Linked DNA regions of Arabidopsis thaliana. Each later gene encodes a partner of the first gene's protein in a complex. Each region holds a gene or a part of one and is shown in the gene's direction. Other genes may lie near its edges. The genes, in order: SR45, RS40, ATU2AF35A and RSZ21.

Region 1 (8,266 bases):
AATGTTGGTCATCAGGAACCTGAAGAAGAATCGGAAAACAGTGGTGAAATCAGTCTTGAAGCTGTCTACGAAGAAGATGATAATGAAGTCGAGCAGGAGAATGAAGAAGGAAAGGTAAACTTAGAAATTGTTGATGAATGTGATGAGCAGGCTGAGATCAAGATAGCTACAGATACAGAGGTGAACGGAGGTGAAAGGTATTCAGAATCTCTTTCTGAAGAAGGACATGGTGGCCAAGAAACTGATGTTGTTGAAGGGCAGGAAGAATATGAAGAAAATGACCAGAATAACATGGAAGAAGCTGAATCCGACGCACAACTGCTTGACGATGTGCAGTCTGCTGCAATCAGTAGTAACCAGCAAGAACAAACCGGAGTAGCCAATGTTGAAACTGTACAAGAAGAAGAAGGTGTTGGGGAAATTGCTGGAGGTAGCCTCAGTGTTTCAGAAGAAGCTACAGATGTTGAACATGACGGTAATGAAGTAGAAGAAGAAGAGAGTGGGTTTGGTGAAGTTGTTAATGATGCAGGTTCGGAGGACATTTTGTTGAGTGGCCAGAAGAAAGTGTTAGTCTTGTTTTCGACTATGATGGTTATACTTGCAGCAGTAGCAGCTGGTTTCCTATTAGCCAAGAAGAAGACAAAACCTGTGATGCTGCAACATGAAGATGGCGAACCAACAGCAATCTCTGCAACTAAAGTTGTCGAGCATGTGCCAGTAGAGAATCTGATCAGAGAAAGGCTTTCTTCATTGAATTTCAAGGAAGAAGAAGAAGAAGTTGGTGATGACAGAAAAAGAGAGGTATCATCATTCCCTTCTGAGATGAGTTTCAGCTTCAGTAAGAACAAACCATTACACAGCTGCAGCAACAAGAAAGATGATCTTAAAGAACATCAAAGCGGAGGAGGAGGCAAGAAGAGTAATGATAGCGGTGAATCCATGGCTTCCTCTGCATCAGAGTACTCCATAGGTTCTGTTTCATATGGAAGTTTCACAACATATGAGAAGATACAAAAGAGAAGTGGTCACGAAGAGAAAGAGATGATAACACCTGTGAGACGTTCAAGCAGGATCAGGAACCATCAACATTCTGGACAATGAGTTAGAATTAGCTTTTGACTTTATGATCTACTGATTTGTAGGAAGGCTTTTCCATCTCACTGAAGCTTAATTAGTATGTTGCTTTCTTAATTAGTAGGTTTGATTCTCTTCTTTAAAGTTTCTGGCTTTACTATTTGTTTAAGACATTGTACCCCAACCTTGTGGCCTAGTTTTAATAATATTGTTCATGTTATCTGAATCCTCTTCTTTGTATCTTGCAAAAACGATGGACAATTTTCAAACACCATGATTCATGATTGTAAAAGGTTTTGCAAGAATAGGACCAAATGGCGTTGGAAGTGTTTTATGATGATAAATCAGATTAGTTTATATAGATGTAGAAGTGTCAATTGGGCTGTCCAAAGCCCATTGGTCATGTCCACTTGGACCATTTTTTTCATGGGTTTTATTGGTTGGTCTTTAATGGACAATGGTCTAAAAATTTGTCCAAGACCATTAAAGACCATTGTCCAATGGTCAGCCCATGGCCAGCCCATACAATGATGTTTATATACAATGCATTTTCACACAATCTCGTCAAAAGCTCTATTTATAAAACCATAACATCAACATGAAATCAAACATGCATGTACCTGTTCTTCCCAGTCTTGTAATCAACCGTGACAACTCAAACACGCATCTAAGACTCTCTATATGCACCTACAAGTAAAGAAAAAAGCCTACAATGGCTACATGGAGAATGATTTAACAGAGAAACCCATTTCAATACTACTCCAACATCTAGAAATTGGAAACCAGAAGTGGCCATCTTCAATAAGCTTAGGTAAAACAATAAGCTTAAACAACATTTCCACAATGTAATCAATCACAAATGATTATAAGTAAGAGACAAAATCCAGAATCAATTCCAAACCAAAATCTGTCATCCAAGTTGCAACCTTAGACCGGATACCATCACAACCTATAACAATCTGTCAAAGACATACATCATCAAATCAGCCATGTACTGAGAATAATAAACACATAACCATAGGCTCAGAGCTTAAGAGAACAACCATGTACTTGTTTCTTCCCAGTCTTGAAACGTTCATGCAAGGGTGGTGTTTGTGTCCTCTTGACCTTGGATCTCATCAGTTTCTTCAATAAGAAAAACCGAGCTATTAATCTAAAAGCTGCAGTCCAAAAGCCATATAAGTTTACTATTATAAACGAGTTCAAGATGTGAATATTACCAACTTCTTGAAATCCACGAAACCAGTTTCTAGTACATAGGAGGGCTTGCACATTAGTAGGTAAAAGGCAGCTTCTATATTTGTTAAGCACACGACTACCTATACTAAAAGCTGATTCCGATGCCACGGTAGTGATCGGAATGCTTAAGATATCACATGCCATCGATGACAATTCTTTAAAACGCGAGACATTGTTTTTCCAATATGCAATAACATCCATATCTCTAAAAGAGACCATATCTAACACAGGCTCTTCCAAGTACATATCTAATGGTGATTTTCCAGTTCCATTTCTTTCAGAAAAGTAAGAGTAAAACCCCTGAAATATGACCAACAAAACAAAATTCTCACTAAGTATAAGAATGCATTTTCAGAAGCATTATGCTTTAAAATGCTTTGCATAGTATCATTTGCAGAAGCATTATCTACAGTTAAAGTAAAAACTTTCTTCTCAATTCCCCAATCTTTCAACAGCTCACTAAGCTTCATTGCTATAGCTACTCCAGAATGTGGAGGCGGGAAAGCACAGAAAGATAAGATCTTCGTTTTCAGAACACCATCAACATCTACATAATGAGCTGTTAAGCAAATATAACTTTCAACAGTTAAAGCTCTCCACAAATCTGTTGTTAAGCATATTCTACCCGGGATTATAGCTAACTTTTCCTTAAGCTTAATTTTCTCTCTTTCATAAATCTTGTAGACATCAGAAGCTGCAGTATTTCTGCTCCAAAATTCTATATAAGGGTTAGCATATGTAAAGGCTTCTCTAATTCTTTCATATTCGACAAACGAATATGGAAGATTATGTTGAACTAAAGCCACTGCAATCATTTCTCTAAAGACCATCATATCCACCTTTCTGCTAATTCTAGGTGTACTTCCAGGAGTCTTCTCACAAGATCTCATATGACGATTCATGGTATTAGTACCATTTCGTCTCAGATTCAAGTGATAAGTCTGCTCACAATATTTGCATGTAACCTCAGTTTTCCCATTAGGATATTTCTGTCCTCTATCGAAGTTTTTCCAGCATGCAGCACGAAATCTACTTACACTACTTTTACCTCTCTCAGCTGTCCCTGAAGAAGCAGTTTCATGAGGTAGTATCTGATCCATTTCTGGATCTTCATGGTCCATTTCTTGATCCTCAAGATTAAAGTTGTCTTCATCAACCAAGTTTTGAGTATCCAATTCCATATTTCTGAAACAAATAAAGACATACACACGTTTAGCAGTGATAAACAAATAAAGCATGAACTTGACTAAATCACTAGCCTTCTGGAATAATTAAGCATGAACTTACAACACAAAGGGTCTCTACATATTGATGTGCTTCAATTCATAATGAAATTCGAAATGGCGAAACATAAACAAAATCTGAAAAGTGCCCATTTGCTAGCTAGCTCTCCTCATATCCAAAATTCACAATTGAACTTTGGACAAACCCACAAGCTAGTAGAACTAACCGGAGTAGGAGTTGAGAGAGAGGTCGAGCTTGGTCGTCGCCGAGAGAGAGCTTTGTCGCCGGGAGAGAGAGCGTCGTTGCCGAAAGAGAGAGAAGAGAAAAAAATTTATGTGTTGAAAAAATTGATGGGCCAACCATAAACCGTGTGGGCTAGCCCATTAAACCCATGGACAAAATTGGTCTTTAGACCATATAGCCCGTTTTCATTACGGGCCGACCATGGACTGTCCATAATGTTGTGGACTGGGCTTAGCCCATGGTCAGATGACCATTTGACACTTCTATATAGATGTATGAATAAACCTTAATGGTTTCGGTGTTATTCAATGACTAGATTCAATCTAAGATACTTTGATTTTGAGATTGCTCTTAAGTTTGTACCAAGGCAACAACAATATCAACAAATTATGGGACAACAAGAGAGCTATAGAAAAATGGTATCTAATTGATCCTAATTGGATGGTGTACACGACCACAGACAATCGATTACAACATTTTATAAGTTGTTGAATTTTTTATGGGAGTTACTAGCTTTTCTGTTTGAATTTTCCTGTAGGATTTGAAGAACTTTTGATTAGTGACACATTCAAATCTGATATGAAAAATGGGAAAGGACACAAATTGAGCTCATTATGGTATTTATACTTTATAAAATGCTTTAAAAAACATATAAATCCCTCAATTTATCAAGCAAATAAAAACCTGCCACGTATCATCTTCGGTTTAATTTGCAGTCCGCGGAAAAAAAAAGGAGACTGGAAAAAAAAAGTCACAGTCTGTCTGTCTGTCTCTCTCCTCTAATCTTTTTTATCCGCTAGGGTTTTGAAGCAAGGTTTCTCGCGATTTTCTCGATATCTCTCGCCCATGGCGAAACCAAGTCGTGGCCGTCGTTCCCCCTCCGTGTCTGGCTCGTCATCTCGTTCCAGTTCCAGATCTCGTTCGGGTTCGAGCCCCTCCAGGTCTATTTCCCGCTCACGCTCCCGTTCTAGATCGCTCTCTTCATCTTCATCTCCTTCGCGAAGCGTCAGTTCTGGGAGTCGCAGTCCTCCACGTCGTGGAAAAAGGTTAGGGTTTCTTTCAATCACTTACCAATTGTTCGAATTGGATTTGTGTAATTTCGCTTTCATTCTTCTTGGTTCGTTCAGCTCGAATTCGAATTGATGTTCTGATGTATCTTCTTGTGTAGTCCTGCTGGACCTGCTAGGCGAGGTCGCTCTCCTCCTCCTCCACCATCTAAAGGAGCATCTTCACCTTCCAAGTAATATCTGACTCGTTCACATAAATATATTCTAGTGTTTATGCTTTCGTCATTACTGACTTTACAATCTTTTATGCTTTCAGGAAAGCTGTTCAAGAATCTCTTGTTCTCCATGTTGATTCTCTTAGCAGGAATGTGAATGAAGCCCATCTCAAAGAAATCTTTGGTATGTTGATTTCTCTTTTCTCTGTTTCTTCTGCTTCTTCTAATCTTACTACATGATAACTGTCTACACATGTCCGCTAATGTCATCAGTAGTGTATACGGCATTACGATCATCACTGGTCTTTTGTTTTCCTTGTGTTGGCTAAATGTTAAGTCTTATAACATGGCTTGGTTTCATGTTATTATTAGGCAACTTTGGTGAAGTTATACATGTCGAAATTGCGATGGATCGAGCTGTAAGTTGCTATTCTCTTTACTCTCTGTTGTTTACTTGCATCACTTGTTGAAATCTGCTCATAATTCCTTTGAATATTATTAACAGGTTAATCTTCCAAGAGGACATGGTTATGTTGAGTTCAAGGCAAGAGCTGATGCTGAGAAAGCTCAGCTCTACATGGATGGTGTATGTCTCTTTCCAATTATGAAATGCACTGTACTTGACATATTGACAGAGAAGATTTATGCATGTTTTTTTTTTGTTCACTGAACACAGGCCCAAATTGATGGAAAGGTTGTTAAAGCAACGTTCACACTACCACCTCGTCAGAAAGTATCTTCACCCCCTAAACCTGTCTCAGCTGCACCAAAAAGAGATGCTCCAAAATCTGATAATGCTGCTGCTGACGCTGAGAAAGATGGTGGTCCCAGGCGCCCAAGAGAGAGTATGTCAAATCCTTATATTTTGGTTATTTATAATTGTTGTAGTATATGCTTTATGTTGTGTTAATTAGTATCATCAATATGTGCTTAGCATCTCCTCAACGGAAAACAGGGCTTTCTCCGAGAAGGCGATCACCTCTACCTAGGAGAGGCTTATCACCTAGAAGGCGATCACCTGATTCTCCCCATCGCCGGAGGCCGGGCTCTCCTATCCGCCGTCGCGGTGATACACCTCCTAGACGTAGGCCAGCATCACCATCTAGAGGCCGTTCTCCATCTTCTCCCCCTCCAAGACGATATAGATCTCCTCCAAGGTTAGTTATGGCACCATCTGTTTTGTCTGGTGTGTTTCAGATTCGATAGCTCACCTTTTATCTGTCAGCAGGGGCTCCCCTAGAAGAATTCGTGGCAGTCCTGTTCGAAGAAGGTCTCCTCTTCCTCTAAGACGAAGGTATGTCTATTTGGTACCTGAATTACACCCTTAGTAATCGAAGTTTAGGAATCACAGCTTTATAGACTATATTACTCAGTAAATTAGACCGGGAAAAATGTGTCAGTTTTATATATGTTTTGTATTCGGCGTGTTTCAGGTCTCCACCTCCAAGGAGACTACGCAGTCCTCCCAGAAGATCTCCAATCCGTAGGCGTAGCCGATCCCCAATTCGTAGGCCTGGTCGCTCTCGTTCAAGTTCCATCTCACCCCGCAAGTATGTTGGAACTCATTTAAACTTTTTTCTGGGGTCTCTCTCGTGGGTTTTATTTTGTTACAGATGCATAGCTAAGACTGATTCATAACAAGTTTTTAAGTCTTTCATAATTCATGAGTATACCCCAAGATCCTACATTGTCTTATCCTTTTACCTAGGTTTCTGACATACCAGCTCCTAGAGACGTTGATACCCAATATGACTAAGTTATATAGATCCGTCTGGGGTTTGTTCATGAATTAATTTTGTCTTTAACTGTAAGCAGGGGACGAGGTCCAGCTGGGAGACGTGGGAGGTCATCTTCTTACTCTAGTTCACCAAGTCCCAGAAGGGTAAGGGCTTCTTGCAGATCCCTTTTTAGCTATAAAATTTTTGATGCCTTGCGAGTTATATGTCTTGACTCTTGACTTTCTATCATTTGTGCATTATTAAACCTTACAGATTCCTAGGAAGATTTCAAGGAGCCGCAGTCCTAAGAGGTAAACACTTTCTGTCTTAACACTAATCCTCGTCTTAAACTGGAAACACTTTATAGTCTGTAGAATGCATTAATTGAAGAAGTTCCAATGTTAAGTTATGTATAGTAAAGTTAAGGGTTACCCCAATTCCTGATAAAAGACATAGCATAAACATCTGGGACCTATACTTTCTTGGTGAGTTTGGTGATGAAACAGAGAAAAATAGAATTGTTGTGTAGAAATTTTTTGCGTTGAAGTCTAATAAAAGAAAATGGGTTGTTGTTGGGTATGTTTAGGCCACTGAGAGGAAAAAGAAGCAGCAGTAACAGCAGCAGCAGCAGTTCACCGCCACCACCACCTCCACCTCGTAAAACTTAAAGGTGATAAAAATTAAAAAAAAAAAAAAAAAAACTTGAGTCTTGATGTAGCTCTCTTTCTCCATCTTTATCGTTATCATCTGTCTCAGCCTCTTTTCTTAGAACAGATAAAATGTTTACCAGTGACCAAATGAGAGTTGTGGTTTTTGTAGTGTTTGGATGTTTAATCTTCTTTTGTGGATCTCCTCATTAGATGCAACGATAATGACTTGGTTCTTTTAGCTGGTTGTAATTCCCTAATATATTCAGTCTTGTTGAAGAATGGCTGGCTCCTTCACCCTTTTCTTATTATTTTAGTTAAAAGAGAAAGAAATCCATACAAAGACTGGTGATCCAAATACACAAGAAATTGGTTTTTTGTTTCATTCAGAGAAATAAATAATTATAATTTAAGGGCTCCTAAGATGCACAACAACAATTTTGCATCAAACCATGCATCTTAATGAGAGTGCACAAACTTTTATTTAAAACGAAAAATAGAGTTTTCCTCAACTTCACACAGTACATACCACTCAAAGAAAATAAATATACATACCACTCTGCAAGTGCCCATATGGGGAAGATGTTTCTGTAGGTAACATAGTTTAGAAAACAGTTCTTCATGAACACTCCTGTCATTTCCTGCACAACAGAGCAACAACTCTGTTTTTATAATCTAATAAATACACACACCATTCTCTGATCCTGTATGTATTGAATCTTTGGAAGAGAGTGTTGAGGATAATCTCCGTTTTCTAATTGTAAATTGATGATTAGTAATTATTAAAAATATATATAAATATGTAGTCAAATTTCTAACTTGGAACCAATAATTTTGAAATAACCACTTTCGTTTTTGTTTACACGGAAAGAGACTATGCAAGTGTTAAGAAAGAAGAC
Region 2 (8,431 bases), on another chromosome or scaffold:
CTTCCAAAAAAAGTCTGCCTCGTTACCTACCTCTCACACTCAAGTCTCTCACGTTATTTGAGATATTTAGGAGAAGCAAGACGACAACGAGAAGAAAAAAGAGTGGGTATGGTCAAGAAAAAGACAAATTATGATTTTAGTGGAAAATAGAAAGTAAAGAGTGAAGTGACGCGACACGTGGTACGAGACTCCACAGCGAGCCACGTAAGGGGGGACAAAGAAGAGAAGGTATGGACAATGGTTTCCGCGGTCGAGCCACGCTTTCAGAATTCTGATTGGCACTGGGTTATCTTGTGGAACCCATCTGAAAGATATTTTTGGTTGTCGTACGGATTTGTTTATTTCGGGTTTGTTGAATTAGTTTGTTTCGGTTTTATACACTATTTTAGGAAACTTTTTTTTATATTCTTTATAGTGAACTGGGCTGAATTTTTTTGGTTGCTAGATTCGAGACGAGCCAATTTATGTAATATTTTGTGGCTTTCTGTTGCTAAATTGTAAGATCTGTAACTTACATGAGATAGAATAAAATAATGTAATGCAGGTTTTGTGGCATATTTACAAACATCATCCACGTGTAATGATCTGTCCACATATTTTGCCTTGAAAGCAACTACAATATGACTTTTAATATCTTTTTTGTTAAATATTTGACTTTTAACTTATGTGAAGCAAAGAAGTAGAAAACGATTTGTTTTGTATTGAATTATTTTCCACTCGTTTCTACAACAATAAAATAAAATAAAATGAAGGAACCATTCTAAAAAAAGGAACTAGAATATTTTCAAACTATAGTACAAAAATGGAAACGACTATCGAATATTAGTAACTCCAAAGCGACACGTCACCATCTCCTTCGCCGTCATAATTATGATTCCATTGAACAGACGGCGGCGGTAAAAGCATGCCTTCAGCCATATTATCCAACAAAGTCGGCATCCCAAACATTGTCTCCTCATCCATATAAAACGCACCTTCGCTCTGTTCCGGTGTATAAATAGCTTCCACCATCGTCTCCTCCATGTCCAGGCCATGATTCGTGGTCGTCGTATCACACGTCTCATCTTGAAAAGCCAACGCCGCTTCAGCAGCCGCTTTTTGGATATCCTTGGCGCATGTTGACTCCGGGATTCGTAGCCGCCAAGCCGAGTCAGCGAAGTTGAGACATGCTGATCGGCCACGGAGGGCTAATGCAGCGACGTCGTGAGCACGAGCTGCCATCTCAGCGGTTTGGAAAGTCCCGAGCCAAATCCTGGTTTTCTTGTTTGGCTCTCTCACTTCAGAAACCCACTTACCGGAGTTTCTTTGACGAACTCCTCTGTAAATTGGGTGACGAGTCTCACGAAACTTCTTACGGCCCGCCGGTTTCTTCGGACAACTCGTGGCCAACGTCGGACAATAATCTCCGCCTTGAGGCTCGTAATCGGAGCCAAACATTTCAGAAAAAGCTGAAAATGAGTTCATTGATCAGAGTACTCTGTTTCAAGAAACTGGATAAGGTTTAAGTAGTACGTAGTTACTAGAGTTCTCAGTCTTTTTGGATTAATAAAAGATAGTATATCTGTCTTGGTAAAGCTATTTATATCTCTCTCTCTTTTTTTTCTTTTCAGGTAGATTCTTTTTCAAGTGTGTAGTTAGTATAAAAAGTGAGAGTGAGAATTGGTGTTTATATTGGCCGGAGGAGAGATAACGGATATGTGGGGAGCACACGGAGTTTTTGTCTCTGTGAATGACACGTGTATAGTACATAGCGAAGCAATCCCACGATGTTCCACTCGCTGTCTGACGTGTGTCCTTTGACCCTTGTAAAGAGACTTTTGACTCTTCACTCGTTAACCTTTATGAGTTCTTTAAATTCTATCGAGTGTGTGCCTGTGTGGTTGGCTGGCTGCTGTTGTTACAATCGTTTTTAAATTCCTATGAATAAACAAATTGTCATTAATTGTCACCCGTCTATAACATAATAGACATAAATATCTCTGTGAAATGATATTTTAAATACTCATGTAGTATTTGTATTGGAAGTAGATGTCCTAATATTTAACCAAAAATAATACTACAATATAGAAAAGCTTGATTTTTTAAAAAAATTAATCAGATTTGGTAATGGATAATTATCAATTTCGATGGACGGTTAAAAATGAGTCATAAATGCATATGATGAACAAAATTATTCAGTTTAAACAAACTATAACCAAAAACATGTAAATGGACCAGGACAGGACTAAGCGAAGGATTAGACCAATACAAAATAGCAAGTTATCTTGAATCCCAATAATTCCCACAAAATATCTCAATCTCAATAATAGCTATATTGTATTGACAAAAAAAAGGTATAAAAAATCTTCACAATAAGATATGCATGAAATATATTCGCTGACAAAAATATCTCTCTCGTTACCTCTCGCTCTCACGTTATTGACATTTAGGAGAAAAGAAGACACAACAAAGAGGGAAAAAAAGAGTGGTAAGGTGAAGAAAACAACAAAATTGGCTTTAGTGGAAAATAGAAAGTAAAGCTTGAGAGTGACGTATGGGGCCAGTGAAGGCTGGTGGGGAAGGTAGGGACAGTGTTTCCGCGGCCGAACCACGGGTTTAGAGGATTTTGACGTCCCCACGCATTATCTTGTGGAACCCATCTTTCTGTTTTTGGAAAATCGTACGGACGTTCGTTTTTGAATTATTTGCTGAATCGGGTTGTTTGGGTTTCTACTCTGTTTTGGGATTCTTCAGTGGATTGGACTGGATCTTTTGTAGCTTTTTGTTGGTAGATTTGAGACGCCTCTATTTTATGAATATCTTAATAGCTTTTTGTTGCATATTCAAGCGAGATAAGAAGATAATTGAGGCTTTATGGCATATTTGAAAAGTCGAAACTCGTTCTCATTCCACGTGTGATGATATGTTCGTGGCCACATATCATTCGGCCTTGAAAGCAACTACTAAACTCTTAACATAAGTGAAGCAATCCAATGAAGAGGAAAACAATTTATTTAATTAATTGTAATATATAAATATACACATTTCTTTATAACAACAATTATTAAACTTACTAACAAACTCATATGTTTCATCGAATCCAAAACTTGACATGTGGGATCTTGAGAGTGTTAAGTTGCAAGACTTTTTAAAAACTTGTATGCATTATTCATTGTGTAGATGTTATGTGATACATGTTCTAGTTCTATTAATCAGTATATTCTAATCAAAATTAAAAAATCTAATATTTGTTTGTCTTCATAATCTGTTATTGTTTTGTTTTTTTAGAAAGCAGCTTCAATTTTGTTTACTTGTTGGGCTTCTTATAATTTGTTTAACATATAGGCCCAATACTCCTAAAAAGTAGACGTTCTCGACTTCTCGTCCTTCAGACAAAATAAGAAAGTCAAAATGTGTTCTGAAAAAAATATCTTTGAAACTAAAAAGAAAAGAAAATAAAATAAAAATCCAAATGATCTCTCTTGCCTTCTTTATCTAAATCGTACCTAACTCTGTTTTCAGTTTCACCTATCTCTCGACGCGAGCTTCTTCTTCTTCTAGGGCTTCCACGCGACTACGCCTGCCAAAATCATTCTACAGGTAAATTGATGCAGTTTATTCACTCTCTATATCGTCGTGGTTCTCATCTCCTTCTTCCTTCTTTTTTTTTTGGTTGGTGAAAAGTAGAACAAGAGAATTGGTCCATCTCGTTTTTTATAAGTTGAATCTCATCAGAGCCTTCTTTGTTTTTCTGGTATGAAAGATTCATGCTTTCGTGGATTGTTCTCGTTTTCTCTATCTTGTGAATGATATTCAGATCTAACTGTAGTTAGATTAGATCTGTTGCATTGTACTTTTGATTCTAATACTGTCTAGTTCAGTTCCTAGATTTAACTGATTTGGAGCTCGAATAGATGAGTTTCAAGTCCTAATTTACTGCAAAACAATTCGATTTAGTGTGAGGGCTCTAGTTTTTAGTGTTAAAAGTTTTCATCTTGGTGACAAATTAGTTGTGATATTCGTGTTTAAATTATCATTTAAGGAAGTCTCATGAATCTTTTTTACTATTGTGGTTGTCTATACAGGAAGCATGAAGCCAGTCTTCTGTGGGAACTTTGAGTATGATGCGCGCGAAGGTGACCTGGAACGACTATTCAGGAAATACGGCAAGGTTGAGAGGGTTGATATGAAAGCTGGTGAGCCTTTTTTTTCTTTCTTTCTTTCTTCTGCCTCTTACTACTCTGTCTTTGTGGTTAACCTGAATGAATTATAATAAGCAGTATTGTTATCCACTAAGTACAATGAAAAAGCGAAATTCAAATGCATTTCATGAAATCCACTCTCGTCTTCATTCCATCCACGAGAAGGCTCTGGTGGACTATCTCCCTTTGGAAGGAGTACTAAACATTGACCACATTCACCTGGCCACCTGATGCAGCCTGCTTGAACTTTGGAAAGTACTTCAGAGGAATAAGATTTTTAGAAAAAAAATTAGTGTAAAACCGCATTTTCTTTGACGCAGGATGTGTTTGATAATCTTGGGACGCCTATACTCACACCTGGCCATGAATGGACCATAGGGAAATCCATCTCTTATCCCTCAAAATCAGTCACTTTCCATCCGCATTAGCACTGCCATCTTAATTGCATTTCATTCCTCATCACTTTGCACACTTGGACATGCCTCTGCAATGGAGAAGGCTCTCTATTTTCATTCATATCCCCGTCTGACTTCCACATTTTCAGTTGTTCCTTGACATATTAATTCCATAATGCAAGGTCTGTAACTGCTTCACTGGTCATTTGGAGTTTTTTTAAGGTTCTAGGAATGTTCAAAATTTAATATGTTCTAGGAGTTAAGTTAGGCGTTGAAGGAGGGAGGACAGTGTTCGTGTATGTTGAAGGTTCTTAATCTGGTCCACTTCCTCACTGTTAATGTACTCAGATCTTTGCTTTTGGCTTTTTCTTTTTTCTCCAGGGTTTGCTTTTGTATACATGGAAGATGAAAGGGATGCGGAAGATGCCATCCGAGCACTTGACCGCTTTGAATTTGGGCGTAAGGGACGCAGACTTCGTGTTGAATGGACAAAGGTAGGATACTTACCCCAGGATTTATTTCTTTCCAGACTTAGTTATGAGGTTTGAAATACTGATAACATAAATGGTTCTGTGTATATAGAGTGAACGTGGAGGTGATAAAAGATCTGGTGGTGGTTCAAGGAGATCCTCATCCAGCATGAGACCTTCCAAGACTCTCTTTGTGATTAACTTTGATGCGGATAATACTAGGACCCGGGATCTAGAGAAACACTTTGAGCCGTATGGAAAGATCGTAAACGTTAGGATCAGGAGGAATTTTGCATTTATCCAGTACGAGGCACAAGAGGATGCCACCAGAGCATTGGATGCTTCAAATAACAGGTTTGTTCTGTCCATTTTAGTATCTAATCACTTTCCTTTCTTAGACTCACGTTTCATCTGTGTTTTCATTCAGTAAGCTGATGGATAAGGTGATCTCGGTGGAGTATGCTGTGAAGGATGATGATGCTAGAGGAAATGGACACAGTCCTGAAAGACGCCGTGATAGGTCACCTGAAAGGAGAAGGCGATCACCTAGTCCTTACAAAAGAGAAAGAGGAAGCCCTGATTATGGCCGAGGAGCTAGTCCTGTTGCTGCCTACAGAAAGGAAAGGACCAGTCCTGACTATGGTCGAAGACGTAGCCCAAGTCCTTACAAGAAATCAAGACGTGGCAGTCCCGAGTATGGTCGTGACCGCAGAGGCAATGATAGCCCTCGCAGGAGGGAGAGAGTCGCAAGCCCTACTAAGTACAGCCGCAGTCCCAACAACAAGAGAGAGAGGATGAGCCCTAATCACAGCCCGTTCAAGAAGGAGAGTCCGAGAAATGGGGTTGGTGAAGTTGAAAGTCCCATTGAAAGGAGAGAGAGATCGAGGTCTAGCCCCGAGAATGGCCAAGTTGAAAGCCCTGGGTCAATAGGAAGAAGAGACAGTGATGGTGGGTATGATGGTGCAGAGAGCCCAATGCAGAAGAGGTTAGATTCTGAAATAGGTCGATACTTGTTTATATATTATTGATGACATGAATCGTAAACCATTTCTCTTGTTGTTGCAGCCGGTCTCCTCGTTCGCCACCAGCTGACGAGTGATAAGAGTGGATCCACAATCTCTATCAAAGTAGGATGTTGTAACTGTTTGTAGTCAACAACGCTATGTCGTCGTGATTAGTTTTTGTCGTTTGGTTTTTGATAGATTCGAACTCGGATCACTTTTATTGTCGGATTGAAAAACTTATGTCAAGTTACTACATTTCCGTTTTTTTTTATCACCTCTCAGTTTGAACCCCAATCATGTAATGCTTTCCCGTGACAATAAGATGCGAACCTCAAAACATCTTGCATCGAAACACCTTGAGAGTGACAAAATCGAACGCATCGTTAAGTAACTTAAATGGTACGCCGAAATTATGGAAGGCAAGAACGGTTCTATTGACTTAATTGGGTCTAAAAACTACTCTAAACGCCTCTTGTCAACGTTCGAACTAGTCCCTAACCTTTGACTCAAATATAAATATTGGCTACAAATAGACTTATAGTTCTGCCTACATTGGTCGTCTGCTTTAGTATATTTGTTACCAAGTAAAATGCTGCTGTAGAGTTTAATGATCTCTTTGTCTACTGGGTTTCTCCAATTTTCTGATCGTTGGGATTCGTGCAAGTCGAGAGAGTCTACTTGGTTGAAACTTTCTGGGTTTTGATTTGAGTTGCCCATTGGATTTGAAGTTTTAGTCTTTTGTTGGTAAGTTTTACCCTTTGAGATATGCTCGTCTGATAGTATAGGGCTTTCGAGTGTTATGAAAAATTCGCCTTTTCGTCTTCTGATTTGGTTTTCATTTCCTTCAGCTAAATCTTCGTAATACTTGGATCCTGAATGATTAATCATAGCTAGAATCCGTTTGGCTTTGTTATTTGGGTCAGAGATTCTGAGAGGACGCTTTAAAGAGTCAAGCTTTTCATTCCTCTGAATCCGTCCTTGTATTGGACGTCTTGATCTCTGTATGCTCTCCTGGAGCTATCGAATCGAGTTTCTCATTGACTGATGCTCTTGGTTCCGAAGCTGTATATATGCAGAGGAGCAGTGGCATCAATAATCTGCATATCCCGACTTCGCCAATGTCTTTCTCTTCGAATGGCATTAACCTGCCTGGATCAATGGTTCTTGATGGATCTCCTTCAATGCAACACTTACCTCAGCAGCAGCAGCGGCAACTACTAGAACAGCAAGCAGGACAAGGTTCAGTTCCAATGAGGGAAAACAGTTATTCCCATGTAGATAAGAAACTGAGATTAGAAGTGAAGCAAGAAGACTTGTTGCAGCAGCAGATTTTACAGCAGTTGATCCAGCGCCAGGACCCCACGGGAAGAAATCCGCAGATGCAAGCTTTGCTTCAGCAGCAGAGAGTGAGGCAACATCAGCAGATGCTTCAATCCATGTCACCCTCTCAGAGACTCCAACTTCAGAAACAGCAGCAGCTGAGACAGCAGTTACAGCAACAAGGAACCCAACAGATTTCTCCTAATGTACGTCCTTATGAAGTTGGCGTCTGTGCTCGGAAATTGATGATGTACTTGTATCATCTGCAGCAACGGCCTGCTGTAAGCTAATACTAACCTATGGACTTCTAGTTATTTTATCACATCTATTCAAGTTCTCCCATCACTGATACCTTTTCTGTAGGAAAATTGCATTACTTATTGGAGGAAATTTGTGGCAGAATACTTCTCACCTCGTGCAAAGCAGAGGTTGTGCTTGTCACAGTACGAAAGTGTTGGGCACCATGCCCTTGGCATGTTTCCACAGGCAGCTCCGGTCAGTATCGTCTTTGCTCTGTGTGTTTTGGTCTGTTATGATATCTGTGTTCTGCATCAGCATATCTTTAGCTATACACATCTTTACTCCACCTGTACTATTTATGAATTTCACTTCACTGATTTTTTAATGAATAAGTTCATCATCTTCTCATTCTGTTTATAGGATATGTGGCAGTGTGATCTTTGCGGCACTAAGTCTGGAAAGGGATTTGGTAAGATAGTTGCAAATTTCTTGTTTTTACTTGTATTTCTGTGCCTTTACTTGAGCACAATGAAGCAGCTTACACATGCTAATTGCTCTCTCTTTATTGTTTAAAACTTTGATAATCGTATTAAAAAGTCTTCCGTCAAAATAGTAGCTAAAGTGTCATCTTTTCGTTCCGCAGAGGCTACTTTTGATGTGCTAGCCAGACTTATTGAAATAAAATTTGCAAGTGGCATCATTGATGAGCTCTTATATCTTGACCACCCACGAGAAAACAGATTTCCCAATGGACTGATGATGCTAGAATATAGAAAAGCAGTTCAGGAAACTGTACACGAGCAGTTTCGTGTTGTTCGTGA
Region 3 (7,246 bases), 3.9 Mb from region 1:
AATAGTCTGCAACAGATATATTGATTCTTCTTACAAAATTTGGGTTATGAGCAATATAATGTTGATGAAAACAAGTCAAAAGTGGTTATTTAATAGTTATTCAGTCTTCCTGGTTAATTAGAAGTGTATATGATTGCTGCTAAATATTTCCACTTCGGTTTCTCACTCGGTGATTTTGCAGACAATAGCGACTTCCAGTCTGTTCCTCGCTTGCAAAGCTGAAGATGAGCCATGTCAACTGTCCAGTGTCGTTGTAGCGTCTTATGAAATAATTTATGAGTGGGATCCTTCTGCCTCAATTAGAATCCATCAAACTGTAAGTGTATACATACATCTATGTATTGGTAAATTCGCACTGTGCATTTTGCTAATTTATTACATGTTGCTCTGCCTGTAGGAGTGTTATCATGAATTTAAAGAAATTATTTTGTCCGGGGAAAGTCTTCTGCTGAGCACAAGTGCTTTCCATTTAGACATTGAACTTCCCTACAAACCTCTGGCTGCGGCTTTGAATAGACTGAACGCTTGGCCTGACCTTGCAACAGCTGCATGGAATTTTGTGCATGACTGGTAAAGACCCTTGTTAATAATATCTGCCCGATTTTTCCCCTACATTGAGTTTGAATCTTATTATGCATTGTGTGTAGGATTCGAACCACACTATGCTTGCAGTACAAACCCCATGTTATTGCAACAGCCACTGTGCACCTAGCTGCTACGTTTCAGAATGCGAAAGTAGGCAGCAGGAGAGATTGGTGGTTGGAGTTTGGAGTTACAACTAAGCTATTAAAAGGTTTGCTGTTCAAACTCTATTTTTTCCTCTGGTATTATTGCAGTCATTTGATCAAGTGAGATGTAGTGTTTCTATAATGTTAGCGCTAGGAATATGTGGTACTGTAGCTCCAGCTCATGTTAGGTTCTTACCCTGTGCACATATTGAGTTTGGAATTAGGTAGTGGCCTGAACGAAGAGATGTGCTGCTATTGATTTTAGCGGTTGATTAAAAATAATTGGATGTTTTCATTATGGTGACAGAGGTAATCCAGGAGATGTGCACACTGATAGAAGTGGACAGAAGGAGGAATATGCCACCTCCACCTCCACCTCCAAGAAGAGAGTTAAGTTGGGCAATACCTGCAGCCGTAAAGCCGGTCCATATGGCTAGAGCTTATCCGTTTCACAGCTACCCTTTGCAGTCCTATAGACAGGCTGGCATCTGGTGAGCCATTGTTGAGCAGCATGAAGATGTAATCTCTCTTAGAGTCTTGAGTTGGTTTAGCAATAAAAGATTTCCGTAGAGACTCATGAGAGAGGCAGTGTAGCATTATATAGAGATCCGAGTGAGGTGCTTCTGTCTAAGTTAAGCGTCTCATGTATGACCAAAGTGGATTCTCTCGAGATTCTTGGTCTCTGTTCTCGATAGAGAGAGATTATGTATAGAAGTGTCCCATTCACATGTTATAATACTAGCTGACTTTATATCGTTTGTATATCTGGAATCTATGTTTTTGGTTTCTTTAAAAAGTTTAAAGTTGTTTTGATTTTGACTAATTCTCTCATTGTTAAGTAATTTGGTTTTTGATGAAGTGCTATTAGGTCTGTGTTGAGTTGAGACTTGAGACGAACACAATCATCATATGATCAAGCTTATACCGATCGGATAAGTAATTAACCGGTTCAATTAACTACACCTAGCTTATACCGATCGTATAAACCGGTCAAGAACCAAAACCGCTTGGTTTCCATTCTAGACCAAACCGGATTCTAGTTTCCATTATTATTATCTTTTTTATCGGATTAAAAATATAAATCCTTATGTCAGGAGATCCCATTCTCTGTCTCTCTGTCTTTCTCCCCCAACTCGCGAACAAAGCAAACCCTAGATCATCCATCGGCGAGTGAGACGGCAGCTCCTCGTCGGTAATTCCTTCCACCGGCGGCGACCACTCACCCTCAGATCTCTCAATCCCACTCATCTCTGTAACATTCTGTACGCTTTCTCTCTCTCTTTCTTCGCTTTTGTGATCTATTACGGCTCGGTCTCTGTGCCTCCCAGCTCTATTTTGGAGCACTGCTTCGTCTCTGTGTTTATTTGGCTCCTTTGTGTGTTTCTCTATCTCTGCTTTTCTTTTGTATTGCTCTGTTTCCGATTTTATATCCATATGTCTCTGGTTATTTGGTTATATCTATGTGTGATTCTTTGTTCTTTTTTCCATTGAATTCAATAGCTGACTAAGATCTCTGCCTTTTATCTTCAATAGTTGCTCAATCTTTTCGCTTTCGTAACATAATTTAGTTTCTTGTTGATGTTTTTGATATCTACCAATCTCTTTTCAATTTATGTCTATATGTTGCTAAATATCTTGTTCAATGACTGATTTCTTAAACTCAGGGTGGAAATTCTGCCATGGCGGAGCATTTGGCTTCAATCTTTGGTACTGAGAAAGACAGAGTGAATTGCCCTTTCTACTTCAAGATTGGCGCTTGCCGTCATGGTGACCGGTGCTCGCGTCTTCACAACCGTCCTACCATCTCCCCAACACTCCTTCTTTCAAACATGTACCAAAGGCCTGACATGATTACCCCTGGTGTTGACGCTCAGGGCCAACCACTCGACCCGCGTAAGATTCAGGAGCACTTTGAGGATTTCTTTGAGGATCTTTTTGAGGAGCTTGGAAAGTTTGGCGAGATAGAGAGCCTCAACATTTGTGACAACCTTGCTGACCACATGATTGGCAACGTATATGTTCAGTTTAAGGAAGAGGATCAGGCTGCAGCTGCTTTGCAGGCTCTGCAAGGTAGGTTCTATTCAGGACGTCCCATCATTGCTGATTTCTCTCCTGTGACGGATTTCCGCGAAGCCACGTGTAGGCAGTATGAAGAAAACAACTGCAACCGTGGTGGGTACTGTAATTTCATGCATGTGAAGCTTGTTTCGAGGGAACTAAGGAGAAAACTCTTTGGGAGATATCGGCGATCATACCGCAGAGGAAGTAGAAGCAGGAGCAGAAGCAGGAGTATTAGCCCCAGGAACAAGAGAGATAATGACCGACGTGATCCTTCTCACAGGGAATTCAGTCATCGGGACAGAGATCGCGAGTTTTACCGTCATGGAAGTGGAAAAAGGAGCAGTGAGAGGTCGGAGAGGCAAGAGAGGGACGGTTCAAGGGGTAGGAGACAAGCAAGCCCTAAACGAGGAGGGAGCCCGGGTGGCGGGAGGGAAGGAAGTGAGGAGAGGAGGGCAAGGATTGAGCAATGGAACAGAGAACGGGAGGAGAAGGAAGAGGGAGGAGCATAAAAACAGTTGTTTACTCAAATCACAATTGCTGCTATGTGGTTTCTGCGTCTGCTTCTCTGCGTTTATTCTGAAATCGGTAAAATCTGGTGATGGATTTTTCATTTGGCTGTTCTAATTTGGAACTTGAAATGAGTGGAATCAACTTCTTTAGATTATAAAATGTTTGGGGTTACTTTCTTGTAGTTTTGATTAGGAAAAACCGCTCTGTCCCCTTGTTATTGATTTTCACCAGTGTTCTTTAGAACTTTGTACTATCTTCTGTTGGTTAAAACTTAAAAGAGTTCTAGTTTAATTCGAAGTTGTCTATTGTTCTTCAATGCTTGGGAATACTAACGAGTTTCTGTGTCATGGTTCAGTTGTGGCACTAATTCGGGTCAAAGCACCTCAGAATTTTAGACAAAGATAAGGGGCAAACACTTTGGGCCTTTGATTGCATTGATTTGTGTTCCAAACACGTCAGAAGTTAAGTCTTTTTCTAAACCAGTTATCGAATGGGTTAGTCTTGGTTGCCATTTTTCAAACATACTGGCTTCCAATTGGTCATGCCAAATATGTAGCTTACTAGACCTATATACTTTCCAAAATTACTTCATAAGCTGTTTGTCTAATTCACGCAATGAATACATATATGCATAAAATACTCCATATGAGTAAAAAGATGTATAATATAGCGGAATATATAACAGAAGTCGACAATGCAATATACATCAACCCTAAACCATAAAATCATGAAGGTCATTTTGGCTTGTAGGCGTCGTCGAGTCCCTCTTCAGTGATCGTTGTGGTTCTTCTGGACAGAATATTCAAATGGTCATATAACTCATAACTCCCAAACGGCCAAACCATTGTTCTAATTGTGATGACGAGTCAAACCACTAATCACAATAAATTAATTACTTTTTTTTTTGTCCCACACATGTTCACAAATATATGTTTAGTTAAAAAACTCAGAATTAATCAATTACAATGCATTAAAATATCGCTACCACCGTCACACCACCCCAATACATCCGTCCGATCTAGCATCAACACCCACAGCCCATCCCATTGACACGGCGGTGTCATTTCTAAAGCATCAAACAAAACATGTCATTGTTTATTCTTACTTTACATTGACTGAATAGTCTGAATTAACATAATATATATATATATATATATTTACGGAATTTTATCATATGAATTCTCAGTTATGGAGATTAGTAGTTCAATAGATTGGCCACGTGGAGAAGTCTTTGCCGTCTTCGCTTGAGTGGATATATTATAGTAATAAAACCCATACGATATCTTGTTAACTTTTTAAAAGTTTTCTTACATCAAAAATATACAAGATATCAAAGTTCAAAAATTAGAAATCTGAAAGATCGTAGCTACATAGTGAAAGATGGATTGTTGAACAGCGTTATAAAGTCACATTAATTCCATGTAATAATAATACCTCAAAATCTCAAATACAACACATGCACGTGTCTAGCTTGCTGCGTTTCTATATACATTATGCAACTGAAAATCGAATTATAATGATACTAAAATGAAATATATGATCTTAAATTTGTTATTGTTAGGAAAATATAAAGATGAGGAATGGGGAAAGTCTGTTGGACAGTGATGCCCTAAATTTGAGAAAGCATATATTCCCCTGCTCTAAAGCCTTTGTCCTCTTCTTAGACAACTTTAAAATAAATAATAATGCTTTCCCATACTTTTTAGGACCCTCCTTTTAAGGCCTTTGTTCTCTACTTTTTTCTATTTGACCCCCAACAAAAAGAGATTATCTTTTCATTTTTTCGTAACATAAAAATAATTTATGATTGACCAACTACGACTATCTATCTTTAATTTCTTTTGAAATCAATTTAATCATGAACCATTGTCAGTACATAGCCTTAGCATCGCCTTTCCTGTCAAAGGATGCAATTTTGTTATGTTTTGGTAGTTTAATTGAAAACTCGTCATAGTAGACAGATATAAATATTTCTCTTCATCTCTTTTTTGTGCTTATGTTATATGAATCAAATGAGTATCCCATTAAGTAAAAGAGAATGAATCAAAGCAGTTATAATAATACAAAAAAGGAAGATTGTAGAGTTATATATTATTAAAAGTTCAAAACATTGAGAAAAAGTAAATGTAAAGATCAAAGCTTCAAGTGTTGAGAAGCATGGCACCTAGGTGGTCTAGTAGACTTTGGTTATAAATTTCAAGTAAAAGAAAAAATGATCAGCACACGAATTTTTTTGTGCCAACCAGTAATAGCAACTCAATGATGTGTACACTAATTGACAAACAAAAACTGAAAACAAACTTTGCTTTATATACCATTACTATTAGTATTACTACATCTAATTAATACCATTGATATTTATTACTTAAATCTTCAAATATTATTTTCTATATATTCCTCTACATATTAATTTATATTTATCAATTTTATAGTTTAATAAAATCATAAATAATTTGAAGCAAAGACTTCGTTAATTATACTTATAAAGTGATGTGTTATGAAAGCGATTGGATGATTGAACCCTGATTGGTAACAGATGTAAAACAAATTTAGCTCCTACACCTAATACTATACTTTTGAAATTAATACTTAAATTTCTTACAGAACTTTTAAAAAGAGACACAAAATATAATAGATTAACACAATATAGTTTTTTAAGATCTAAGGTCAAGTTGGATAATGGATAGAGGGAGCCCATCATTTCTTAATCTTCCGGTACATATGGTGTATCTAAGTGGTCATCAGGTAGTTTGTTATAAATGAGACCATGGACGTAATTAGTGCAACCTTAGTTTCTATATTTTGCATATTGTATCTATTAGTTTGGCTCCATATAATGATTCCAAGGACAATCAAATATACAAATAGACACATTACAATAAAAATTTTATTGATGCAAGTAGATACTCTGACAATCCGCGTGGTTAGTTAGGTATAGGGCTTGATGACACTCTAGAATTTCAGGACGTAAATTCGAAGAGACTCTATTTTTGATTCTCTTGACGAATAATTAAGTTGTGCATGGGCCATTCGTGCTCGGGTTAGGAGTTATTGTACATGATAAGCTTGTTCAACAAGAGTTCGTTCATCTTCGAGATTAATCGAATTAGATCCAGATTACTGCTACAAAATAAAATAGATATTGGAATACATAAATTTGTTTTAAATATTAGAAACATAACAAGAATATAAAGAAGGTGAGATATGTGAGCGTGCAAGTAGAGACGAGAAAGAAACATAAAAAGTGAAAACAAAGTTTTTCCCATACTCTTTTTGATCTCAACACATTCTCCAACGTGCCTTTCTTCTGATGTGAGTCTTGTTGCTCTCTTTTTATATCTGGTTGATCTATTTTTCATTTCTTTTATACTTGTGAATTATTATGAACTAACTAATTGATCGATTAAGTTAGTTGTTTTCCACACTATTAATTAGTTAATTAATTAAACATTCTTTTTAGATGCGATCGAATTGGTGACAGCTTTATCAACAGTACAATACTCATTTTCGTAACTTATTGCACTTTTGAGTCACACTAGATAAGGAATCATTTATGTATAAAATGAGTTCTTCGCTCTTCTAAAAGCGTTCATTTCAACCAAAAAAAAAAAAAAACAGCCAACCATAACATCAGAATATGAAGCATGTTCTTTCCAAAACCAATAACACAAATTACATTGCACGACACATATTATGTAACAACCAATAAAAGTTCGCCGCCTCTTCTATATGCTAATAATGACAATCAACTAGCACCTTGCCAAGTTATTATCTCTTGCATAATTTTTTTGCTCTATCTCTACTTACTATTGATTGTAATAGTTATCCCCTCCTTTCATTGAATGTCTCTGATGGTTATGGAATTGAAATTATGTCGGACTTTCTCTAGTGTTCCGATATAGTGACTTCGACCTTAAAACACGCTTATAAGTCAATACATGGCAGAT
Region 4 (7,818 bases), 2.8 Mb from region 1:
CAAGAGTCTATATCACCAAAACAAACAATGCCACACCAAAAGATGATTCAGAAAACAACGAGACCAAATCAAACACAAAATTGAGATTCTTGCCACATATAGATCCCGAAAACAAACAGCTCAAGAACACGTTTTCACACAAATTCAATCTGTACCCATGAATGAAACAGTTCAAAACGAAACGAAAATAAAAAACTTTTCCACAAAAACCCAAAAGAAAAAAATCACACTATTGCTACTCACCTTCTTCTCCGAGAATCACTAAATCGCCGGCGAAAAACTTCAACGGAGAAATCTAAATTGTTTTCTTCGTGGAACAGATGAATGAACAAAAAAGTTCACGATAAGGACTCGAGACTCTTTGGGGACAGGCTATACAGAGTTTGGATAGAGAAGAAAATTTAATGAGAGACAAGAAAAATATAAAAACCGAATAACATAATACCAAATGCACATATACACGTTTTCTTACGATCTATTTTTCTAATTTTGGCAATAAAATAATATAAAGGTGTATGTAAATGACATTATTACCCTCAATCCTCTTATTATCTTCTTATTGTAGGGTTTGGTAGTAGATCAGATGATGACTAGATAATGTGGTGGACCATTTTCTTTTTTCGGCTGAAACAAATGAAATAATTTTAATCCTTAATCCAATCTAAAGGTAATGCTAAATTTGTATTTAATTTAAGAGATTATGAGATCTCATCAAACCTACTCTGTATAGGTCGTATATTGGTACTGGTCAACTTTTTTATTACTTTAATAAAATGATAGTTTGGTTAGTTTTATAATGAGCTATCGTTTACGAGTTTATCCAAAATGAATCAGATTTTCCGTAAACATGACTCTAAGAAAAACTCAACTCTGGTGCCAAATCATTAAGTTTACACAATATAAAATGTTAATGGTGTAAATAAATTACAATATACAACAGTTTTTAACATTGCATGTAGCATGCTTAAATTCTACAAACTTTTCCCGTGAAACAAATAAAAAAACATCCCATCAATTTTGTTTACGGTTCCAGTTTTTGTTTTTATGTATTTTAAAAATATTTCAATGTATAGTTTAAGTAGCTATATTGAATCTATGATTTGGTAAGACATGAGAAATTTATATCAAAGTGGCGGTGTCCATGTATACAAAAATCTAATGTTGACGACAAGTCGTTTCATGTTAACAAAAAAAATACCGACTAGTCACATCTCTACAAAGTGCAGGTAACGTTTTAAGAAATAATTATCATAATCCGTTGGCAAAAAAAAAAAAAAAAAGACTAAAACAATTTAATGTATTGGTCAAAAAACAAAACTTCTACACACGATCTAAGACTATATCCATATTGATAAGATGAATTGAATCGATATATATTCTTACTTTAACAAAAAAGAAAGATCATTAGAGTTATCTTGTCTTACTAAAAGTCTTAGATAAAGACATAAAAATGGAACAAACATCATTGGGAATGCAACATGCATGTACATATTACATATAGTAAATATAATATAGTTAAAAGCGAAGTCATTATTATATGACTAAACTAAGATAATTAAAACATGTAAGCACACATTATCGGGAATGTATTGATATTAAAAGGGCACCACGTAGGTCAGGGTGGCCTCTCAAACCCCCCAAGGGACAAAGCAGCATTAGGATTGTCACTAAAGTACTAACCATGTGTTATTTTACGATATTATCCCCATTTGGTGTTAATGGTTCCAAGTGTCAATGTAAATAACGTTGACATATATAAGCCGTGTTTTGTTTTCACGTTGTTTAGGAAGCCAACGAGGATTGGGTAATTGGATCCGAATCAGATTGACACTTTCTTCTTCTTTACTTTTCTTGCTCTTCCACTTGACAATACCAATTTAGGGCTTGGCTGGATACAAATGTTTTTATCCTTCTTCAACCCGTTATCCGTTTTACTAGACTTAAAAAAAAAAGAATAGTATGTGTAAATATGATACATGATATCATGCATTTGTTAACTACGATAAAAAAAATCGAATATCTATATTGTCCATTTTGCAGATATCCCTTTTAAATATCTAACTAAATATCTGTAAATGTGAGGTTTAAAATTGAAATCCGTATATTTTTATTGATATGCACAACGATAGTTACAATAAGTAACATGACACTAATAATCACTCCCCAAAATTTTTATACAATTAGATATAATTTTAAATACTAATATTCTATAAATATTTCACAATTTTAGAAATTTTGATACTAACCAATTAATGTTAGCTTTGGATAACGAATGAAGTTATGGCCATCTTATTTCTTCTGAGCCATCTATTTAGCCATAGCCATCCAAAAATTAAAGAGTATCTTATTCCTCCCATGTCCAGCTTAAGGGACAAGCCAGGGAATAGCGACACGTGTAAATTGAATGTCGATTTTGTAAAAGGAGGTAAGTGGGGTCTACACAGTGGCTGCAAATAAACGAATCATAACTAAACACGTGTCAAAGACACAGTCTTAGAGGAGTCGATGTAAGTGGGACCCAGCATGACTTATCTTGGTTCAGAATGTTTTCCCCAATGGATAAGTGTCTTTTTGTTTTTGGTGGGATGATGAAACCTTTTCTATTTACGTCGACGCAATTTTAAACAATGAGACTCTTTTTTTTTTGTGTGTGTGCAATCGTTTAGAGACTTGTTCACATGAATTAGGTGCCCAATCATGTGTAAATTGGTAAGGTATATGTAAAACTAACAATTGTTACACTTGCCAACTCCAAACTTAGATTTAATCAGCCTACTATATTTTGAAAATTTAAGAAGATACAAGTACTGATGCAAAAGTTGAAAACCAAAACCAACTCATATGGGCCATTAAGCAACTGAAACTTGCTCATATTTTTAAAATTTTAACCAAAAGGTTATGGGTTTTAGGCCCATTAGTTTTTTTCAGACTGAGAATCACGTCAAGTTACAGTAATTAGACATCAAACTCTAGAAACATGTTTGCATAACTTTTGTTGTCAAAGATGTTTTGCATAGTTTCAAAATCCGCTTTCACCTCAATTCTCTTTTTACGTTAACTAATCGACTATGGGAGACTAGTCTTACATTTTGGTCGCTAAAACTTTGTTTATGAATATATGGATTACCGAAAAATAAGGGACCATGAAATAACTAATAAATGACCAAATAATATATGATGTTAATTTTTTTTTACTTTTCAGTTTTCATATAATAATGAAATAACTTGGTTACTCTCTTTCCTCGCCGTAGTCTGAGTCTGAACCCTAAAACATCCCGCTTCGCTGCTCAGGACCAAGAATCTCAGGTACCTTGTTAACTACTCGCTGTAACTATTATCGATATCCATATTTCTTCACAAAATTCGATTCTCTTTCGTTCAGATTCAACTGATCTTTGCAACATGACGAGGGTTTATGTCGGGAATTTGGACCCACGCGTCACCGAAAGAGAACTCGAAGACGAATTCAAGGCCTTCGGTGTTCTTCGCAAGTAAGTCCTATCTCTGTACTCAATTTTGTTTCAAGCCATACGAATTATGACTCTGAATCTTAAAAATCGCAGTGTCTGGGTAGCTCGTAGACCTCCTGGCTACGCATTCCTCGAGTTCGATGACGAAAGAGATGCTTTGGATGCAATCAGCGCATTGGATCGTTAGTGTTCTTCTCATTAGACCTCTTAGTTACCATGTAATGTTTGTATTATTGTTTGGTCATTGAAAAGTTTTACTCTTGTGGCGTATACTTCAGGAAAGAATGGGTGGCGTGTGGAGCTTTCTCATAAAGATAAAGGAGGTCGTGGAGGTGGTGGTGGTCGTCGTGGAGGTATTGAGGATTCCAAGTGCTATGAGTGTGGTGAGCTTGGACATTTTGCTCGCGAGTGTCGCCGTGGTCGAGGCTCTGTGAGGCGTAGAAGCCCTAGTCCCCGTCGTCGTAGGAGTCCAGATTATGGGTATGCTCGCAGGTAACGATCCAACGGAAACATTCTTATTGAGCTGCTTAGATGAGATAGTATGTCATTAGTATGTCCATTGTGTTAACATATCCATTGAAATTGCACTTTGTAATCATGTATAGGGGCTGAGTTGTTAATGTTGATAGTACCTTTCTTGATGTTATAATCGCTTTGTGACATACATTTTTGTTCCTGTGGAATTGATTTTGTTCAGGAGTATAAGCCCGCGTGGAAGAAGATCTCCTCCAAGGCGTCGCAGTGTTACTCCACCTCGCCGTGGGAGGAGCTACAGCAGATCCCCTCCTTATCGTGGTTCACGCCGTGATTCTCCTCGCCGCAGAGACTCGCCCTATGGTCGACGTTCGCCATATGCCAATGGGTAAAAGTTCTTTTCTCTTCTTGGATTTAGGTTTACTTTCTCAATCTGCATGACTCAACTTCAGCATTGTCTATGTAGATGTGAATAACATTTGAAGTATTTTGATATAAGGTATATATTCGTTTGCGTTTCTGCAGGGTGTGAAACTGGACCCTGAAGAGAAAGAAGCTATTACTAAGCTATGATGCTATATCTACTCTGTGGCGCCTTTTAGGATAGATCTTTATATCTGCTATTATGGTATTAGCTCTTCTAGGTTTGGTTGTTGAGCATGGACATGTCATGGTATGTTCGAGTTTTATTAGACAATTGGATTTGGTGAGTTCTCCTTCATGCTGTTTTCCAACAGCCGTCTTGACTTATTCTCTATAACACGCACTGGCCTGCTGTCTTCACACAGCGTCCTTGAACCCCTACACTTGAGGTCGTTCTTTCGTATCCATAAATGTTTTGTCTCTTGTTGAATGCACTTTCCTTATTATATAGACATATCTAAAAAGCTCAACTGTTTCCACTCTTTTTCCCTTGTGAGGTATGATTTATCGGGGATCTCTTGGCAGCACAGCTGCATCTTACTCTCCCCACAACTTAGTTTTATCATGAATCTGCATCCTCAACTCGACCAACATCAGCTAGAATTTGCTTGTTACATTGTGTGACTTTTAGATTGCCCTGCTCTTTACTCACCACTCCTACCCCAAGTCTGCAACCAAGCTTCTATTGAGAAAGACGAATCTGTTTCTTCACCCCGTCCTCTTCCTAGCTCTCGGCTGCTATATCACCACTTGGTTTCTCTACTCACTTTTGTTTTTCGGTCAACTTTGTTACACATCTGTTGGTGGATCACACACTTACATTAAATTAAACCCATTTGTGGATGCTTCTTTTTTATATTGCTTGTGAAAAACGTGTTAGCTTAGTCTTTTGTGTTCATGATTTGGTTTCCCACTTATGCTTTTCTTTTCCCAATTAATCTCGACTTTTAATCTGTTCTTCTTCGGCCGCCACATGTTTTCATTTTAATACTTTTCTAAATTTGGTTTTGAGGCAATTTGGTTCAGATTTGTTGGTATACCAATTCTTACGTCAACGTCAATGAAGAAACGACTCCATATTTACGAATAAAAAACTGTAGTAGATCTGTACTCTCCCTTTTTCTTTGTAGAGAAGAAGAGAACTGTGAAAGAAGATGAAGATTGAGGAGGATCTAGGTTTCATCAACATACTCAAACGAGCAACAAAGCTTCTATGTGGTAACATCAATCTTGTTCTCTTCCTCTTCCTTTGCTCTCTCCCCCTCTTTTGTTTCTTGATCTTCTTCGAGCTTTCACTCCAAACCACTGTCTCACTCGCTTCTCAATACCTCGTTCGACAACTCACTAATTGGGATTACTACTACGTTCCTCAAGATGCTTCCGTCTTGGAGAATCTGATTCCATTGCTTATCCAGACATTTCTACTCTACTTGTTCCCGTACGGCCTCATAGACCTCTTCACCACCACCACAATAGTCTCTGCATCTTGGACTGTTCACACGTCGGAGGAGGAACCGTTAAGGTTCGGTCAATTGGTTCGGAGAACGGTAGAGATATGTCAAAACAGACTTGAAGGTTGTCTGATCACCTCTCTGTACGTCCTTCTCTTGTCAACCCCTGTTTTCTTTGGCTTCTTATTTGTAGCAACGAACTATTTCCACATCATTTCTCTGACCGGATCAGGCGAAAACTCATACTACTATTCTATAAACATTGAAGAAGATGCCGAAGGCTATTACAGAAGCAGCAGTGTCAACAGTCCGGTAAAGATGTTGTTTGATGCGGTTTTAGCTATGTTTCACGGTGCTATCTTTCTCGGTTTACTGGCGATGTTCAGCAAGTGGAGTGCGGGATGGAACATGGGTTTGGTTGTTTCGGTGTTAGAAGAGGAAGAAAATGGTCAAAGCATATATGGAACCGATGCCTTGACACTGTCTTCTAACTATGGAAAAGGACATGAGAAGCGTGGTCTCCAAGTGATGCTGGTGTTCTTGGTCTTCGCTATTGCGATGAGGATGCCATGTTTTTGTTTCAAATGCACGGAGAGTTCCAATGGAAACAGAGTGTTGTACACGAGTTTCTATGTGGGTTTGATCTGTGTTGGGAATATGATCAAATGGGTGGCTTGTGTAGTGTTTTATGAAGATTGTAGAACTAGCGTTTTGGAGAAGAAAGGTGATGTGGAGATTGGATCAAAAGGTAAGACTTTTGTTGCATAGATAAATTGTCTTAGATCAAACCAAAGCTCTCGAATCTTAAACAATTTCTACATGACCAATAGCTCTGGCCTCTTCAAGCTTTCCTTATAGTTGCTCCGTTTAAGCCATTAAGGTCATATCCCAATGTATTGTTGTGTGAGACTATCAGTGTTCATGGCTTGGCCAAGTATTTATTGAAAGTTATATTATTGAGTTGTGTTTGATCATGTACACTTATACAATGTAAAGCTTAATTTTATCTTATCTCTAACATAAAAAAAAAACGAAATAAAAAATTCTAAATATATGTTTTCATAAGAATGATATTGGACACACGTCTTAGATTAACTGACTTCACTTCATAGTTAGGCTTTCACTGTTATCTCTAATACTTCGATCAAGTTTTTTGCTAATTTCCATATAATTTAATTACAACAAAGTGTAAATAGTTCTAAATTGACAATCTAAGACTTGAAGCTTATCTAGTAAAACCCCACTACTAATCAAACATTACATACAGTGACTTATAGACCAAGTCAAGAAGTCAACGTCAATGAAGGACGACCATTAAATTACTCAAAGACTTATTACCAATTACATGTTCCACCACTACACATACAGATCTGTGACCTCTCTTCTTCTATTGTGAGAAAGAGATCAACAAATGGAGACAAAGAGCGAGGAGAAGCTAAGTGTCATCGAACTACTAAAACGAGCTCTTAAGCTACTCTTTGGTAACATCAATCTCGCTCTCTTCCTCTTTCTTTGCTCTCTCCCACTGTTTTGTTTCTTGATCTTCTTCGAGCTCTCCCTCCAAACCACTGTCTCACTCGCTTCCACATACATCTCCAAACTAGTCAATTCTGAGGAGGACTTGTCGGAGAATGATCTTCTTCCTTGGCTGATTCAGACAACTCTGCTCTACTTCTTTCCCTATACTATTCTTGACCTCCTTACCACCACCACGATCGTTGCAGCATCATCGATTGCTTACACATCTGAGGAAGAGCCGTTAGGGTTGCTTTATTTGGTAGGGAGATCTTTCAAGCTATGTCAGAACAAAGTAGGAGGTTGTCTGATCACATCTCTCTATGTCCTTCTCTTGTCGACCTCTGTTTTCCTCGGTTTGTTCTCTGGTTCGACCATCTACTTATATTTTGCTTCTCTCACACTCGAACAACAAATATTCTTTAATCAAGCAGTGGTGCAAGACCAAAGATTCCTTGAACAAGCAGTGGTTCTGTTGGATGTGG

Evidence for each region.
Region 2: SR45 (region 1) and RS40 share a complex: the UniProt entries of both Arabidopsis thaliana proteins name them as parts of the spliceosome.
Region 3: SR45 (region 1) and ATU2AF35A share a complex: the UniProt entries of both Arabidopsis thaliana proteins name them as parts of the spliceosome.
Region 4: SR45 (region 1) and RSZ21 share a complex: the UniProt entries of both Arabidopsis thaliana proteins name them as parts of the spliceosome.

The regions. Positions count from the first base shown.
Region 1 is NC_003070.9:5,675,047-5,683,312, reverse strand, and holds SR45 (arginine/serine-rich 45), read left to right. Parts: upstream 1-4,460; 5' UTR 4,461-4,626; coding exon 4,627-4,826; intron 4,827-4,948; coding exon 4,949-5,020; intron 5,021-5,103; coding exon 5,104-5,186; intron 5,187-5,374; coding exon 5,375-5,421; intron 5,422-5,507; coding exon 5,508-5,588; intron 5,589-5,678; coding exon 5,679-5,847; intron 5,848-5,936; coding exon 5,937-6,159; intron 6,160-6,230; coding exon 6,231-6,296; intron 6,297-6,435; coding exon 6,436-6,585; intron 6,586-6,817; coding exon 6,818-6,884; intron 6,885-6,993; coding exon 6,994-7,031; coding exon of another isoform or gene 7,032-7,035; exon of another isoform or gene 7,036-7,126; coding exon of another isoform or gene 7,127-7,136; exon of another isoform or gene 7,137-7,306; coding exon 7,307-7,388; 3' UTR 7,389-7,465; downstream 7,466-8,266. Other genes in the region: AT1G16630 (uncharacterized protein), read left to right, coding at 1-1,101. UniProt on the Arabidopsis thaliana protein: Involved in 5' and 3' splicing site selection of introns, and may bridge the 5' and 3' components of the spliceosome. Isoform 1 is required during flower petal development and isoform 2 is involved in root growth.
Region 2 is NC_003075.7:13,021,099-13,029,529, forward strand, and holds RS40 (arginine/serine-rich splicing factor 35), read left to right. Parts: upstream 1-3,399; 5' UTR 3,400-3,579; intron 3,580-3,666; exon of another isoform or gene 3,667-3,733; intron 3,734-3,856; exon of another isoform or gene 3,857-4,064; 5' UTR 4,065-4,069; coding exon 4,070-4,175; exon of another isoform or gene 4,176-4,751; coding exon of another isoform or gene 4,752-4,758; exon of another isoform or gene 4,759-4,914; coding exon of another isoform or gene 4,915-4,957; coding exon 4,958-5,070; intron 5,071-5,158; coding exon 5,159-5,400; intron 5,401-5,473; coding exon 5,474-6,031; intron 6,032-6,111; coding exon 6,112-6,145; 3' UTR 6,146-6,342; downstream 6,343-8,431. Other genes in the region: CBF1 (C-repeat/DRE binding factor 1), read right to left, coding at 823-1,464; AT4G25510 (uncharacterized protein), read right to left, coding at 6,345-6,405, 6,550-6,938; SLK3 (SEUSS-like 3), read left to right, coding at 7,121-7,651, 7,734-7,865, 8,031-8,079, 8,254-8,431. UniProt on the Arabidopsis thaliana protein: Required for constitutive and alternative pre-mRNA splicing. Involved in primary miRNA processing and pri-miRNA biogenesis. Binds both intronless and intron-containing pri-miRNAs.
Region 3 is NC_003070.9:9,612,745-9,619,990, forward strand, and holds ATU2AF35A (U2 snRNP auxiliary factor small subunit), read left to right. Parts: upstream 1-2,162; intron 2,163-2,392; 5' UTR 2,393-2,407; coding exon 2,408-3,298; 3' UTR 3,299-3,613; downstream 3,614-7,246. Other genes in the region: CYCT1;3 (cyclin T 1;3), read left to right, coding at 182-316, 398-570, 648-793, 1,036-1,223; AT1G27640 (uncharacterized protein), read right to left, coding at 1,719-2,162. UniProt on the Arabidopsis thaliana protein: Necessary for the splicing of pre-mRNA. Probably active at the 3' splice sites.
Region 4 is NC_003070.9:8,424,749-8,432,566, reverse strand, and holds RSZ21 (RS-containing zinc finger protein 21), read left to right. Parts: upstream 1-3,081; 5' UTR 3,082-3,306; intron 3,307-3,325; exon of another isoform or gene 3,326-3,382; 5' UTR 3,383-3,402; coding exon 3,403-3,491; intron 3,492-3,563; coding exon 3,564-3,652; intron 3,653-3,748; coding exon 3,749-3,962; intron 3,963-4,167; coding exon 4,168-4,332; intron 4,333-4,469; coding exon 4,470-4,476; 3' UTR 4,477-5,310; downstream 5,311-7,818. Other genes in the region: AT1G23850 (uncharacterized protein), read left to right, coding at 5,522-6,586; AT1G23840 (uncharacterized protein), read left to right, coding at 7,230-7,818. UniProt on the Arabidopsis thaliana protein: Probably involved in intron recognition and spliceosome assembly.